2 linked regions of the Astyanax mexicanus genome follow. The protein of the gene in region 2 interacts with the protein of the main gene of each other region in a pairwise test. Links are inferred from orthologs where the notes say so. Each region holds a gene or a part of one and is shown on either strand. Other genes may lie near its edges.

Region 1 (7,799 bases), on a different chromosome or scaffold from region 2:
AGACGAAACTCAGAGATGTGGATCCGGACGGGACTAAAATTACCGGAGGAGCACGGAGTTCAGAGAAAAACAGTGGATAAATCAGCCTGTAATTTTCTCAGAGGAAAAACACGTACATGATCGTTCTGGACAGGAATAAAATCACAGAGGACCCACATAAAAGAGAAAAATATCCCAGAACCCCCTGAGAAACTAATCCCGTCCGGAAATGGCTTATCTCGTATTGCGCTTCTGTCCTAACCACTTTGTGTAATGCAGTACTTATACGAATTAACGATTAATCTATAATGAAATTTGTAATTGATTTAAATTTAAATAATCAACATTTTGTCAATTGTATCGACTAATCGTTGCAGCCCTATTTCCGATCCAGTGGCAACTGAGTGGAAGAACAAGTAAAGGTGTTTCTAATAAAGCAACCACAGCGAGGTTATTGCACAACCTGAGTATAGATTTTTTGCCAATAGCAAGAAAAACTGGTTAGTGTTGCAGAGCGAACCACAGATTAGCCTAAAAGCATTTCTATTTACAACTATCTATTGTCACCTGTTGCTGACACAGGTGTTCAAATGCACAAACACAGCTTGTCTAAGTTCCTGTAGAAGAGAAGTACTGCAAACAGACAAACAAAACCCATGTCTAACGCGAGACGTGAGATACTAGGGGTATAAAGTCCCCAGTATTGTGGACAACTAGTATAGGATGAGTTGAGGAAGTGGGGGATGTATGAGGTGGGGTTGGTGATCATCATCCAACATCCTGACCTTACATTCCTGACATTCATTTCAATCAAATCCTCACAGCAATGTTCTAAAATATTTACTAGAAAGTCTTCTCTGAACAGTAGAGACTATAAACTCTTTAATACTCTTGTTTTCAAAAGAAAAAATATGCAGAAAAAACAATGAACTTTCACCCATATAGTGACTCTTCTTCCAACGTTAGACCTTAAAACCAGCTGGTGTTTCCACTAAAGTGGCCACTGACAATACAGTAGGTATGGTGTTTCTAATAAAGTGGCCTCTGACAATATAGTAGGTATGGTGTTTCTAATAAAGTGGCCACCAACAAGACAGTGTGTAGAGTGTTTCTAATAAAGTGGCCACTGACAGGATAGCAGGTAGACGAGTACGGCGGGGTGTTTCTAATAAAGTGGCCCCTGACAAGATAGTAGGTAGATGGGTTTGGTGAGGTGTTTCCAATAAAGTGGCCAGTGTGAGCTAATCGCGAAAACACAGAATATTAGCCTGTTAGCAGTGGGTTAGCCGGCAGGCTAACAACAACAGGTTGTGTTTTAGAGATTAATGTATCTCTAAAGCAAATAAAAAGCCAGGATATTAAAAACAGTCGCCTAATTATCACATTAATCGATTTAACTTGGTCAATATCGCGTTAAAACCTCGTAAGTGCCTCTCCGGATCCCCGGGTGAGTGCCAGTGTTAGCCTGTTAGCTCGTTAGCCGCGGCGCTAGTGGAAGTCTATGGGAAGTGTTAGCCTGTTAGCTCGTTAGCCGCGGCGCTAGTGGAAGTCTATGGGAAGTGTTAGCCTGTTAGCTCGTTAGCCGCGGCGCTAGTGGAAGTCTATGGGAAGTGTTAACGCGGGGGGACCGCGGGGTTATGTTCTGGATGTTTCTGAGCGCGGGGTGTGTGTGAGGGGTGTGAGGGAGTGTGGGGGGTGAGAGCGGCGGCTGGCAGCGGTACCGCGGCTGGGAGCCGGACCGGGCCGGGCTGAAGCGGGTCGGGGAGCGGGGTTATAAAAACTCACCAGCGGCGCTTTTTCCCTCAGCATCTTCCGCCGAACCGCCGCCGCTCCGGGGGAGGAGTCTGGAGGAAGGGGAGGAGCCTGTGTGTGTGTGTGTGTGTGTGTGTGAAAGTGAGTGTGTTAATGTGTGTGAGTGTGTGAGTGTGTGTGTGAAAGAGAGAGAGAGAGAGTGTGAGTGAGTGTGTGTGTGTGTGAAAGAGAGAGAGAGAGAGTGTGAGTGAGTGTGTGTGTGTGTGTGAAAGAGAGATAGAGTGTTTGTGTGTGTGTGAGTGTGTGAGTGTGTGTGAAAGAGAGATAGAGTGTTTGTGTGTGTGTGAGTGTGTGAGTGTGTGTGAAAGAGAGATAGAGTGTTTGTGTGTGTGTGTGTGTGTGAAAGAGAGAGTGTGTGTATGAGTGAGTGTGTGTGTGATAGAGAGAGAGAGTGTGAGTGAGTGAGTGAGTGAGTGTGTGTGTGAAAGAGAGAGAGAGTGTTTGTGTGTGTGTGTGTGAAAGAGAGAGAGAGAGAGAGTGTGTGTGTGTGTGTGTGTGTGTGAAAGAGAGAGAGTGTGAGTGAGTGAGTGAGTGAGTGTGTGTGTGAAAGAGAGAGAGAGTGTTTGTGTGTGTGTGTGTGAAAGAGAGAGAGAGAGAGAGTGTGTGTGTGTGTGTGTGTGTGTGAAAGAGAGAGAGTGTGAGTGAGTGAGTGAGTGAGTGTGTGTGTGAAAGAGAGAGAGAGTGTTTGTGTGTGTGTGTGTGAAAGAGAGAGAGAGAGAGAGTGTGTGTGTGTGTGTGTGTGTGTGAAAGAGAGAGAGTGTGAGTGAGTGAGTGAGTGAGTGTGTGTGTGTGAAAGAGAGAGAGAGAGAGTGTGTGTGTGTGTGTGAAAGAGAGAGAGAGAGTGTGAGTGAGTGAGTGAGTGAGTGAGTGAGTGTGTGTGTGAAAGAGAGAGAGAGAGAGTGTGAGTGAGTGAGTGAGTGAGTGTGTGTGTGAAAGAGAGAGAGAGAGTGTTTGTGTGTGTGTGTGAAAGAGAGAGAGAGAGAGTGTGTGTGTGTGTGTGAAAGAGAGAGAGAGAGAGTGTGTGTGTGTGTGTGAAAGAGAGAGAGAGAGTGTGAGTGAGTGAGTGAGTGAGTGAGTGTGTGTGTGAAAGAGAGAGAGAGAGAGTGTGAGTGAGTGAGTGAGTGAGTGTGTGTGAAAGAGAGAGAGTGTGAGTGAGTGAGTGAGTGAGTGAGTGAGTGTGTGTGTGAAAGAGAGAGAGAGAGAGTGTGAGTGAGTGAGTGAGTGAGTGAGTGTGTGTGTGAAAGAGAGAGAGAGTGTGAGTGAGTGAGTGAGTGAGTGAGTGTGTGTGTGAAAGAGAGAGAGAGAGAGTGTGAGTGAGTGAGTGAGTGAGTGTGTGTGAAAGAGAGAGTGTGTGAGTGAGTGAGTGAGTGAGTGAGTGAGTGTGTGTGTGAAAGAGAGAGAGAGAGAGTGTGAGTGAGTGAGTGAGTGAGTGAGTGTGTGTGTGAAAGAGAGAGAGAGTGTGAGTGAGTGAGTGAGTGAGTGAGTGTGTGTGTGAAAGAGAGAGAGAGAGAGTGTGAGTGAGTGAGTGAGTGAGTGTGTGTGAAAGAGAGAGTGTGTGAGTGAGTGAGTGAGTGAGTGAGTGTGTGTGTGAAAGAGAGAGAGTGTGAGTGAGTGAGTGAGTGAGTGAGTGAGTGTGTGTGTGAAAGAGAGAGAGAGAGAGTGTGAGTGAGTGAGTGAGTGAGTGAGTGTGTGTGTGAAAGAGAGAGAGAGTGTGAGTGAGTGAGTGAGTGAGTGAGTGTGTGTGTGAAAGAGAGAGAGAGAGAGTGTGAGTGAGTGAGTGAGTGAGTGTGTGTGTGAAAGAGAGAGAGAGAGAGTGTGAGTGAGTGAGTGAGTGAGTGAGTGAGTGTGTGTGTGAAAGAGAGAGAGAGAGTGTGTGTGTGTGTGTGAAAGAGAGAGAGAGAGAGTGTGAGTGAGTGAGTGAGTGAGTGAGTGTGTGTGTGAAAGAGAGAGAGAGAGAGAGTGTTTGTGTGTGTGTGTGTATGAGTATGTGTATGTGTATGTGTGTATGTGTATGTGTGTGTGTGTGTGTGTGTGTGTGTATGTGTATGTGTGTGTAAAAATGAGAGTGTGTGTGTGTGTGAGTGAAAGTGCGTGTTAATCACTTTTATTCATTTAATTTATTTTTTTTATCTAATTGTTAATTAACTGATTCATATCTCTATTTCTGTTTGTTTTAAGATTATTTTTACCATTTTTTAAGCGTCAATATATTGGGTATTATTTATAGTTGTATTATTTGTATTATTATTGTATTATTCTTTTCTATTATTATTATTATTAGTAGTAGTAGTAGTAATTTCTATATAAAAAGAGACCTGTCCTGTTTTTAATTTGCCATTTTAAGTATGAATAAATATAAAACAGACACCTACATAAACACTTTATTTTTTCTTAAAGTATTTTTTTATGTATTTAGTTGAGTAGATGTTGCTTCTCATAATCTGGATTAGAACATTACTCAAATATTCACTATTCACTGTATACCTGTAACTCTACCTCTTCACTACTTTACTTTAACTGATGCTCTCAAACACTTTGAGATGAGTTCAGCACAGCTGTTAACTGAAAGCCTGAATTCCAGGTAAAATCCAGCAGAGATGTGCAAAACTGATTATCTAAGAATGTAATATATTATTATATTCTGGGTTGTTTAACATTTTTTTGGTTTAGTAAATAATTCCAGATGTTTTTTTTTTATTATAGTTTGTAAAATAATGATAAAACACTGCATTTAAGGTGGGTCCAAACGTTTGACCTTTAAACCCTGGTGTAAATTTTGAATGATGCGCTGGCGCCCCCTACAGGAACAGTTCCACACTGCAGGCGAGCCCGGTTACCACTGACTACCCCATATACAAACAAACAGAGAGGAGAGCTCAGAAACTTCAGCAGCTCATATATATTACAGATATATTACATGTATTTCACTATATCTGCTTTATTACAGCTTTTATTACAGATAACTCGCTATATTAAACACAGTCAGTTAATTTAATGTATATAAATATCAACAGAAATTAGTTCAGCTCTGTCCACACTGAAGAAACACAGGAGAGCTCCTCTAATACCTGCAGAGGATCAGCACAGGTGAGCTTTACCTCATTTATACAGGTGTATCTTATCACAACAAACATTTTATTGAAAATAAAATGATTTATTCTCTTTCTGTAGCAGTGAGAGGCTCATCTACAAGGAGGAAACCCACACAGGTAGGCACTAAACCCTAAATCATATTTCTATTTTTATTTATATTTGAAATACTTTCCTTTGAAGTAATAAAACATACCAGTCCTGTTTAAAAAATAACCGAAACATTTCCTAACCTTTAAAAAAAAAAACTCTTTTATTCTGGTCATTTCCGCCTCTGCTGCGCCCCCTTTGGGTTCAGCTGTGCTATAGGCGAAGATGATGTGTCCGTGTATTTTAATACACGAATACTTACAATATGCAAATCAGTCAACCAATAATACTGCCCCCACTGACATCCAATCATCTACGTCTTACAGCTATTAGAGGCACACTACTGCTGCTGCAGCTCAGCCAATGAGCTCTCCCTCCTGCTAAACCCATACATCACTCAGTGCCCCTCCCAAACTCCTCCTCCTTCCATTTTGTTTAGCTTTTTTTATTTGAGCTGAGGGTGGATTCAGCTAAAATCAGACCAAAATCATTACATTTCTCACCCATGACTTTTTTTTTATCCCATTTTCTCACCAATTTACAAGGCCAAGGATCACTAGTGATCCCCCAACACCAGGAAGGTGAAGACTAGAAGTCAGACTCTCTCTTATGGGGTCAAAATCGGGTCAAAAGTTTTGAGAACCAAAAGTATAATCCATAACTAAAAATAATGAAATAAAAAAGGACAATAATTGATATTATAAATTTTAAAATCATGTTTGTAAACAGAATATTTAATACTCTTTATTAAATAGAGAGTTTAATATTGCATTTTGTGTTTTACCCTTTTCTGACTAGTCCCCACCCACCTGTAAAAACAGGATCAAAACTAAACCAAAAACAAAACCAAGAAAAAAAAATACTAAAAGCAAAGAGATATACTAAAAATACTGCTTCTCAAAACTTTTGACCCTACTTTGACACCATACTCTCTTTTTGAACTGCTGCTGATGCAGCATTACTGAGAAGCATCACAGCGCTAACGCTCGGAGAAAAGCGCAGCGACTCGGTTCTGATACATCAGCTCACAGATGCAGCCTTGTGCTGATCCACATCACCCAACATCAAGTATCAAAAGTGTCCAGGAGTGCAAATGTACAGGATGTTCAGTAAAGTGTCAAAAGCTGGTTTCTGGCAACCTCAGGGGTGGAGTTAGTGTTGGGAACGAGCAGCAGGCGGAGTCAGAGGCCACACCCACACAGATTTCTGTGACGTACTGCACAGTTCTAGTTATAAATGACTGGCTTTAGCCCTGCTGACAACAAAAGACAGTATTTGAACTTTGCATGTTTCCTTAAAACCTTAAGATCCTTAATATCCACCATGATAGCTACCATTAACTACTGAAAATAGAAACCTTATATGTAACCTTAATATGTAAAAATTAGCTGCACCGGTCCTCATACCTAAAGCAGCCCATATTATAACTTCACTGAGAGATGGGGATACATATATGGATATACAACTCTGGAAATTTAGAGCATTTATTTACAGAAAATGAGAAATGTCTGAAATAACAAAAAAAGATGCAGAGCTTTCAGACCTCAAATAATGCAAAGAAAACAAGTTCATATTCATAAAGTTGTAAGAGTTCAGAAATCAATATTTGTTGGAATAACCCTGGTTTTTAATCACAGTTTTTTTTTTTTCATGCATCTTGGCATCATGTTCTCCTCCACCAGTCTTACACACTGCTTTTGGATAACTTTATGCTGCTTTACTCCTGGTGTAAAAATTCAAGCAGTTCAGTTTGGTGGTTTGATGGCTTGTGATCATCCATCTTCCTCTTGATTATATTCCAGAGGATTTTAATTTGGTAAAATCAAAGAAACTGTAATGTTGTAGATATTTGGACCATTTTCCTGTAGAAATGTGAACACGTCAATAATTTGAGATGATATTTAAGTGGATGATGTTTGTGTTTGGATGGATTAGATGAAGCTCTGCTGCTTGGAGAGCTTTTTCCTCAGGATCAGCCAAAGCCAGAAACCACGGGGAACCTTACATCACTGAGGTCAAAGGTAAAGGTCATGCAGCGAAGGAGCCCTAAAGAAGGTGAGCTGAAACGTTAGCATTGCTGCTGATTTAAAGGTCCTGGATTCTCTGGAATGTGCTTGCGCAACTTCTCACACAGGAACCAGGATTTATAAGAAATACTTGCCAAGAGATCAAGAGTATATTTACGCATGGTTTGAGGCATGAGTACTCCTACAAAATATTGCGGAAAGAGAGGGGGAATTAGCAGAACCATGTGGTTAAAGAGACTATTGTATTATTTTTACACTAGCTTATTTATTTCGTATTATCTTGCACTTAAAACCTTTTTTTGAAAAGGTCCTATATATAAAAAAAAGATTATTATTAGTTCACTGTAAAAAAAAGCAAAACTTAAAAAATTCTCCTTAATGTGATTCAGCTGAACCAAAAATATTGAATTGCACTGTAAACTATAGAAAACGAATTACCTAAACCAACTTTATTAAATTTCTTGTTAAAAGTAGATCTGAATAAATAATCTGTTTTGATAGAATTTACAAATTGCAGTTGAACCCTAGTTGAGGTCAAGCCAACTACTTTGCATTACTGCACTACTGCACATGCTCAGTTCGACTCTTTAGGTGAACGGGGTCTACAGAGCAATTCTGCAGGGGTTTTCACCTGGATGTTGGTCACACTATTTGCACATTGGGCGTGTCCTACCATCTCTCACACATCATCAGTGTGTAGTCATTCCCCACGGACTGCCTTGTCCTGGAATTTGCATATATGTGTTTCATTGGTTAACTGCCTGGTCTCAGTGTTGTAGGCTATAAGAGCAAGTTAATATA
Region 2 (9,218 bases):
TGTTAAAAGATTGTTTTTTTTTCTGCTTAACATTTGCAGAACTGAGTAGTAATCAGGCCAATTCACGAGAGGAAACAAGGAAAGCAGACCTTAATTGAATTAATGTTAACACAGACATCACTTGATATACTGCATTTTACACTTATATTGGCTGCTTGCCATATTTAAAATTATGCTACAGAACATCTGAAGTTAAATGTAAAAAAGATTTTTCAGACATTATAAACATGTGATGTCAAATGTAAATATGATGTAACAGTTATAATTAACCAAAATATAATCAAAAACTAAGAAGTGTACTAAAAAAAATCAGTGAAAGTAAAGGATGCTGCTCCCGATGAGCGAGACGAGGCGAGATACTGGAAGAGGCCTGTCAAAGACAAATCTGGAGTCCAGACACTCCTGACGCATGAAGTTGCTAGGGAGCAAAATGAGACATTATCAGCCATTATTAATTAAATGTTACATTTTTCTCTTACTCGAAATGTACATTTCATTTAAGCTTTCACCACTGATTTCATCCTAACTTACACTCTTGAACCCTTTTAAAACAGTAAACATGAAAATAGTCCTGCGTTTCAGCGATCTTGAAATCTGACCAATGCTTATCCCATTTACACACATATGCCATCTCTAGCCTGAATATTATATTAGTACTGAAACGGAACAACTAAGAAGTGAAACAGTATTTAAATGTTACAATTCACACAGATCTGCAGAAATATAAACTATAAAATACTTAAACAACAACAACACTCGTGAAAACTGTTCCTACCACAGCAACCGGGCATCAGCGGTCAGTCCAGCGATAGAAATGCCAATGTGGTTATCAACATGGAGAATTTTCTTCTGATGGGCTGCTAATTCAGACTGTGCTCTCTAAAACAAAAAATAAAAACACACTTTAATATTTACGTGCTTTACATGAATAAACTAGAAGAACAGAAGAATGAAGAAGAATTTCAAACTAATAGGACATGAGTTTATAGTTAGGTCATACAGCCCCATGAGGAAAACACAGCACGAGTAACATATTTTTTTAATGTATACCATGATTAATAAGTGTAATACAAAAAAGTTCACACAAAAATTTATTTGCTGCTCTTTTAAAAGGTTTCATTCCAATGGTTTCTTATTCATTTTTGGTCTCTAGTATAAATGAATACAATGCGAGATGTTTTTTGTGGAAAAAAAATGGTCGGGTGTTTTTGTACAGCCCTGCTTTATTTCAATGAATTTGTGGTCTCTTAAGAAAGACAGGATTATGGCTCTTGCTCATGAATATTCATACATGCAAATATATATTGCTAGCAGCACTGCAGCAGAGAACACAACCTGCCTTCCCCCTAAAGTCAATTTTACAGCTCTAAAACTCAAAAGACAAATGTTTTCAGAGATACATATTTAGCTGTAAAGGTATAGCACTGTGAGCTAGAGTCAAAATAAATGTTATCAATGCTGCAGGGCGAGCGGATGCTGCCTGCCGCGGCCAAGCGGCTATGATTAGGTGCTTGGGCAGTTTTACTACGTCTTAGTCAGAGTCAGCTGGATATCATAGAATCTGATGGAATGGCGCGTGCTTTGACCGGTGTTCTGTCGAGTTGTGTTGCCTTGTCAAACCATGCTTCCCAAGTGTATATTAAAGGTCTCATTATAGTTAGTTACACAAGATAGCTAACATTATCTAGCTGGTGTAAACAGAGCTGTAAGCCCTTTAGCTAACATTGTTGGCTCTGTCTGTGGGCGGTCCCGACCCAAGGTGGGCGAGGCCATGAACTCATGAGTTGACGTAGACTTGTTTTCCTGAATTTATTTTTTGTCTTTCTTTAAAGCATTTGTGTTTTCACGTCATCATAAATCCCTTCTGCTGAACACTCACTGACATTGTAAACAGTGAAACAGCTTCAGGTCATTAAGCTAATTGTAAGTGGTAGAGGGAGCACTTTAATTGATGTTTAAAAAGCATCCCTTTCTCACTGGTCACATGTCAAATAAGATTTCTCTTAACTCCGACTCATTTTTTAACAAACACAAGGCTTAATACCTTTAAAGCTACCAGAACAGCATGAGAGCGTGACTTGAGCCCCACAGTGGCAGATCCCTGCTTCACCGCCTCCATCGCATACTCGATCTGATGGATCCGCCCCTAAAAAACAACACATGCAATAAGGTATGATACCTCACACTTTATAAAAAAAATTAGTAAAAATTGTTAGAAAATACATTTTTACCTGAGGACTCCAAACTGTGACATCATTGTCATACTGGTTTCGAAACTGAGGGGGAAAAAAGATGACAAATTACATTACAGTATGCAGTGCTGAGGATACTGTTGATAGTGTCTGTTTAATGAACGACTGCTTGTTACATGACAAACTGAATTAGAGATGTTTAACTTAATTTATTCCATTGTGTTGTGATTAGTTTTTCCTGCTTCAATTTACTAATCCTGGAAATTCACTGTTAAATAATCCAAGCATGATGTTACTGTTTTTTTGTTTAGCCTATAACATTCCCCTACAGCTGGATGCTAAAATCTTATTAATTCACATTGAGGAGAAAGGTAATTCTAATGAATTCTAAAGTAGTATCAGAACTCAAGCCACTTGATGTACCAATAGGGTAATCAAAGCAAAACGTTAAATTCATTTTAACAGCTCTACTTGTAGGTAGGTCTAATAGACATAAAAGAACAGTGCAAATAGAACAGTAGGTCTTAAACTATGTGGCAGGTTCTTTAAATGATGGTGTGACAATAGATGTGAGAGATGGAGTTGGAGAACTATTCATTCCTCATTACCAGACCTAATTGATTTTCTTAATCTACCTCAATGATTCAACAGCTGGTATAAAGCATTCACAAAACAAGCTAGAAGAACTGCAACCTCCTGAACATCCGGTTATAAATAAGTAATCAATTCATTAATTAATTTGTAATTAATTAATAAGTAAAGGATTTAATCTGTTTAGGGGTCCAGTATTAATAATGGGTGAATAAGTGTTAAGGAGGGTTAAGGATCTTGCCAGTTTAATCAGTGTATGAATGATCAAGCATCATTGTTTAAGGTCGAAAGTGAAAGCAGTTAGATGTAATTACGGGTGGTCAGCAAACCTGTCGAATAAACCAGATTAACATCTGAAATCTGAAGACGGTAAATGGAATAAACGGATGTGAGAAACATGTTAGCTACATTAGTTTTATATTAAGAGAGTAAATAAGCAAAGACAGCTAAAACATCAGGAAGTTTCTGTTAGCTAGTTAGCTTTAGCCATCTTAGTCATTCAGCATTACTCTAGAGCCTGATTTGTTTAGCTAGCCAGCTACAAATCCTGATTTAATAATCAGCCACGAGCATATAACATCTCAATAACGATAAAAACTAAAATATACTGCAAATAATCACAGCAGCACAAAGCTACTAAACTAGCCCATCTAACATTACACAGCATAATCTAAACTAACATAGGCTAAGCTAAGCTAGGCTAGGCTAGGCTAGGCTAGGCTACCCCGCTGTAAACGCTTACTCACGGTCCCGATGGTTTATTATTAAATAACTATTTAAACTAAACAATCCCGATTATTCTCCCCGTATTTAATCTTACTGACTACAGCCCGAGCTCAGCCCGAAACCAGAGCGCAGAATTCCCTCTAAAACCTCTCTTTAATTCTGTTTCTCTTCTCACCATCTCCGCGCTGCAGCTCTCTCTCAGCTCCGCTCGGCTCTGCTCTTCAGACCAAACCAGAGGATCCCAGAGTCACTGATTTACACAGGAGAGAGGGAAATTACTCTCTAAGATCGACATATAGTTATATATATAGTTATGTGTTGTATATTTTTTTGACCCTTTATTTGACCACAAGGACACATTTATATTAATAATATATATATATATATGAAAAAAATGCGGGAAAACCCTTACACCAAACGTCTGTTTATACAGATCTAAATAACTGTAACTTATATACACTTTAATAAATTTATAACTGATTAAAAATACGATTTTTCCATGCAATTTTAAAGCTTTTATTTGAATCCCATTGTCTTTTTTTTTTTTTTTTGTTTTATTTTAGTTTATTACTACTGCCACTATTGTTATAATTAAATAATGTGCAGGAGTAAATCAATTGTTTTAAACGGGGCTGTTTAAATGCTTTAGAAAATGACCCTCTGCGTTATTATTACTGCAAAAGACCTGGATTAATAACACAGACATCATTAAATTATCTCGGATTTTATAGCAGCACTCTTAATAAGTTTTCATAATAATCCACCTTATAAATGTTGTAGATTTTAAGTAAAGTCAATAACGTTATAAGCATGTGTTACAGAATAGAAACAACGCTTCTTATGAGTTCGCATAGTGAAATTAGTCGAATATTTCCCTTAAAAAATGTCGAGGTTTAGGTGCTGTAGTCACACAATATACGTATGAACTACAAATCCCACAGTGCTGCGCAGCGCTTCACCGGATGTTGTTACTGTCCAGGTGTACATACCTTGCATTGCAGCAGATCAGCTTTTCAGCAAGTCATTAGTTATTCAGTAATTTTCACCTGATTGCAGCGTTTATATGTTCCAGAAAAACCCGTATCTGAGCCACTTTGCTCCCTCCTGCAGTCTCCATGTGTGTGTACGAGCCTGAATTTGGCCTTTCATTTAAATTAATCAGTCCACCTTAAATGGTACAGTAATCAGATTACGGCGCCCGAGAAACTAGCATGTAACTGCTGCACTATTTAAGGTGGAACGGATCAATTAGATAAGCAGTAAACTTTATCTAGCTCAGTTTGTCTCTTGTTTACAGTAACCCAGCCTCGCTTTCTTTTAAGTAGTATAACAAGTTAACCCTGCTAAGGCTGCTTTAGCACTTTACCCGTGTAACATAATCCAAAAAAGGCCTTTTTAACGCACTTGTTCGTCTTGTTTAGCAGTAGTTATGATGCCGTAATCGTGTTCATTCCCACTACAGTAGGATTATACCAGCTACTAGTTAGTTAGCTGAGTACTCAGCTGTCATCTTCTGTTCTTTTAGACTGATATATATACACTGTAGGTGATGCAGAACAGTTATGCAGAGAGTGAATATCTGAGGCGATTTACGATTAGTCAAGACCATAGATAAATCACTCTCGTCTCGGTTGTTTCTCTTTAATTCCTCCATGTAACACCGCAAGGTTACATTACTGATTATATATTTTATAAATGTAGTATTTTAATTTCTTTTTCTGGTGCGCACCATCTGTATTAGCTTTTCTCCCTTTATTCTCTGACTTCTCACCTCCTGCTTCACCTGTGTGGCTCCGCGCTCTCGCATCTGCACAGATCTGATTGTCAGAGGAGAGTGTTTGCTTATCTTACAGCACATGTGATTGGTCTGTAAGTTTACTGCGCTGTAAAGCATGTAAACCGTAAAGAAAATAAACGTTCCACCACTTTAAATGAACACTGTCTGTCAGAATTAAATCTTTCTTAGTAGTTTATCGGTTTGGGTCCGGACTGGACAAAGCATGGGTCCGCCTATTAGGGACCTCTGTCCTAAAGTACTCATTGAACATACACATTCTAAGAGACAAATGAAACACTCATATCACTAATTGAGTTTTATTAAAAAAAAATCTTTCAGGGGTGTTTCTGCAAAAGAGGATAGCTACCTTAATACAGCAATATTATTTGATATGTACATTAAATGAATATTTAATATAAGTCTTACTATAGCATTTTTTCATACTCCAGTTGTTATATTTTTGGCTTAATCCTTTTTTCTATAGGAGCTTGTACTGTATATCCAGCTCCAGTGTTCTTTTGTACAATGCTCGTACAGTGTCTGTTCCAACCTTTAAAAAGAGATTTTCATTATTCATTTGTGGGAGATGTATTCATGAACATACAAAAACACATAAATTATAACTGACTGTGTTGATTCACCTCAGAGGTCACCCTACTACGCCTGCATGTGGAGGGTCCAGGTTGGAAGGAATGCTCTGTTTGTTCTGTGTAATGTATGTTCTGTGTATTCAGTAGGACATAAATGCATTAGCTATTTCAATACAAATAACACTGAATTTGTAGTTGACCATTTTACCTCTGAAGGCCTCTCAGAGCACCCAGAGATAGTATCCTCATCATGGTCATCTCCATCATGATCCTGATCAGAAGCAGCATCCTGATTGGTAATCGGGCAAATTGGATTCTTTGAAACATTTACAACAGTCCTTTATAAATCACTGGTTGTTTGGACCAGCAATCAACCGTGCCCAAATTTTTAAAAAATTGTTTAATTTAAATTTTATTTAAAGAATTACTGCACACTTTCTATAAATCCTACAAACTTCATTTTACTTCTCAAATATCACTATGTTCATCTTCTATATGATATACTTAACTGAAATTGCAGATCTGAACCAACAATGATTTATAAAGAAAAATCATAAAACTTTTTAGGGTGCCCAAAATGTTTTTATATGGTTCAGGTCCATTGGAACACACAAGGTTCTCCACTAATGGAAAGGTGGTGATCCATGGAGAACACACACACACACACACATAAGAGGTCTTCTTCAGATCGCACTTAGTCTGGAACCTCCCCCTCGACCGTACCGCCATGGGTGACCCTACCAGGAACCAAAGTTACAGCCGGCATCGCTCTCAGGTTCATTGGAACACACAAGATTCCCCACCAACGGCAAGGTGGCGATCCATGTTGAACACACATTCACACACATACACATTTATACATACAGACATACAAATACACATACAGATACAAAAACATTAACATACTTACAGAAACACATTCATACATCATAAAAACACATGCAGACATGCATACATATGCATTCGCACACAATCACTCATACTTACATGCACATACACAAAAACACACATACAGAAATATATACGCACACACACATGCATATACACACAATTTAAAACACACATACATACCAAACACATTTGTGCACATACATATACACAGAAACACACATAAATACATGCATATACATACAAAAACACATGCACACATACACACGCACATACGTATGCAAACACACATACGTACACACATGCACATAAGAGGTCTTTTTTGGATCGCACTTAGTCTGGAACCTCCCCCTCGACCGTACCGCCATGGGTGACCCTACCAGGAACCTAAGTTCCAGACGGCATCGCTCTCAGGTTCATTGGAACACACAAGATTCTCCACCAACGGCAAGGTGGCGATCCATGGAGAACACACATTCACACCCATTCATAATATCACATACACACATAAATACATACATACATACACACACATTCACACACACACACACACACACACACACACATACATACCCATTCACACACACACACACACATACACACACACACACATTCATACGGACACATTCATACACGTGCAAATACACATAGACACAAAAACACATGCAGACATGAATACACATGCATACACATACAAACACACATACTTACATGAACTTACACATACAAACACATGCACATACATTCAGACATATATACACATACATACACACAATTTCAAACACTTAAAACCATACACAAACATACAATTTCAAACACACATATACATACATACATACATACACACAGAAACAAAAACACACATACTTACATACATACAACTATGCACATAAAGACAAAAACATTTGTGTGTATATGTGTTTGAAATTGTGTACGTGTGTTTGTGTATGTATATGTTTAAAACTGTGTGTATGTATGTGTATGTGTGTGTGTATGTGAGTGTATTACTGTGTGTGTATTTCTATGTGTATCCTATTCCTCTATCTCTATATCTATGTAAGTAACGCAACTGTGGTTAAATCTAGAGCTCCGCCCATTCCCTTCTATACACTCCCACTCATTTACATGAAACTACACGAGAACCATAAACTCCTACAGCTAACAACTACGCTGCTGTGGCCATTTACCATCCAATCAGCAACATTTATCCCAAAAATGAAACACCCACCCTTCCCTTCTCCCACTGATACACTGATCCTTCACTACGCCACAAGCTCTTCACAGGGGTCATCCGCTGAGGACCTCCCTTCATAAGCGTTACGCTGAACACCTCAGGAAGACTCAGCAGTGAATTCTGGCATCCCAGACTCACCTCCCTCCAAGCTCACGACACGACATAGATCACAGAATATTACCCACAACCTCCAGACCACTACTGTGTGCCTCAGCCCATTTACCAAAATTCTAACCCTGCAATGTATGTCTGTGTATGTATGTGTTTATGTATGTGTTTGTGTATGTATGTACAGCTCTACAGCCAGATCCTCTACAGATCACCTTTTCAGCTCTTTCTTGCTTTCCACCTGAAGCAGCTGAGCAGGTGCTGTAGCCATCCTCTCTGCATGAAAATAAATAAAAAAACAAAGAACTAAGTAAGACATGGTGTAAAAAAGCATTAACACAGACATTGCATATACATGCACAAACATAACAGTACAACAAAAGAGCAGATTTTTATGATTTATATGCTGATCCTTTTGCTTTAATTAACACTGAAATCTAACCTTTCTGTTTGGAGCTGTCTCTCCTGGCCTGTGATGCTCCAACTCCAGGACCTCCACGTCGTTCTCCAGGTCGTCCTTGTCCTACAAGAGACAGAGACAGAGACACAGAAATGAAGGGGAACTGTTGTACACCTTTACTGTTGTAGAGAATTTACTAATAATTTCACTGCATAATGCTTGTCAAATATTTATATAATTTTATACGTAATATATTGTAAAATGCTTATCAATATTGCCGTGACTGCAAGAATTATGTCTAAAGTGTTTTGGACTAAATTATACCATGAATTAACATAATTATTATTAAATGAGATAAACAGTAAATGTGATATACAGTGAATCTTCTATAGCTGACAGCAGGATTTAGTCCAAACTCTTACCTGTGCAGCTGGCACTGGCTCCAATTCAGGCTTTGTGTCCTGAAGTTCCAGCCGGTGAGAGGGATCTGCCTCTTCTACCTGCACCAGGACTCGGCGAGGAGACCTGAAACGACACACAAAGGAGGTCCGAAAGTTGGTGACAGGGCGTTTCAGGGATCTGCGCTGTGTATTAGTGGTGGGTGACAGTGCAGTGTCTCCCTGGCTGGATGGCTCCGGATGAGAGGTGGTGGTGAAGTCTGGAGCTGGAGCTTCTTTGCACTGTCAATGACAAAAACAAAACAATAGGAGAT

The links. The genes of interacting proteins can lie anywhere in the genome.
Region 1: the proteins of psma1 (region 2) and UBX domain-containing protein 11-like interact in binary tests that used the Homo sapiens proteins (3 or more experiments, as listed by UniProt). The two-hybrid records come from large-scale screens. The link is inferred for Astyanax mexicanus from reciprocal best matches to the Homo sapiens genes PSMA1 and UBXN11.

Annotation. Positions count from the first base shown.
Region 1 is NC_064408.1:128,133,989-128,141,787, forward strand, and holds the start of UBX domain-containing protein 11-like, read left to right. Parts: upstream 1-4,727; 5' UTR 4,728-4,878; intron 4,879-4,962; 5' UTR 4,963-5,000; intron 5,001-6,906; 5' UTR 6,907-7,001; coding exon 7,002-7,026; intron 7,027-7,799. UniProt on the Homo sapiens protein: May be involved in the reorganization of actin cytoskeleton mediated by RND1, RND2 and RND3. Promotes RHOA activation mediated by GNA12 and GNA13.
Region 2 is NC_064417.1:10,653,862-10,663,079, reverse strand, and holds the start of psma1 (proteasome subunit alpha type-1), read right to left. Parts: upstream 3,776-9,218; 5' UTR 3,688-3,775; coding exon 3,685-3,687; intron 2,277-3,684; coding exon 2,232-2,276; intron 2,147-2,231; coding exon 2,045-2,146; intron 880-2,044; coding exon 776-879; intron 419-775; coding exon 330-418; intron 1-329. UniProt on the Homo sapiens protein: Component of the 20S core proteasome complex involved in the proteolytic degradation of most intracellular proteins. This complex plays numerous essential roles within the cell by associating with different regulatory particles.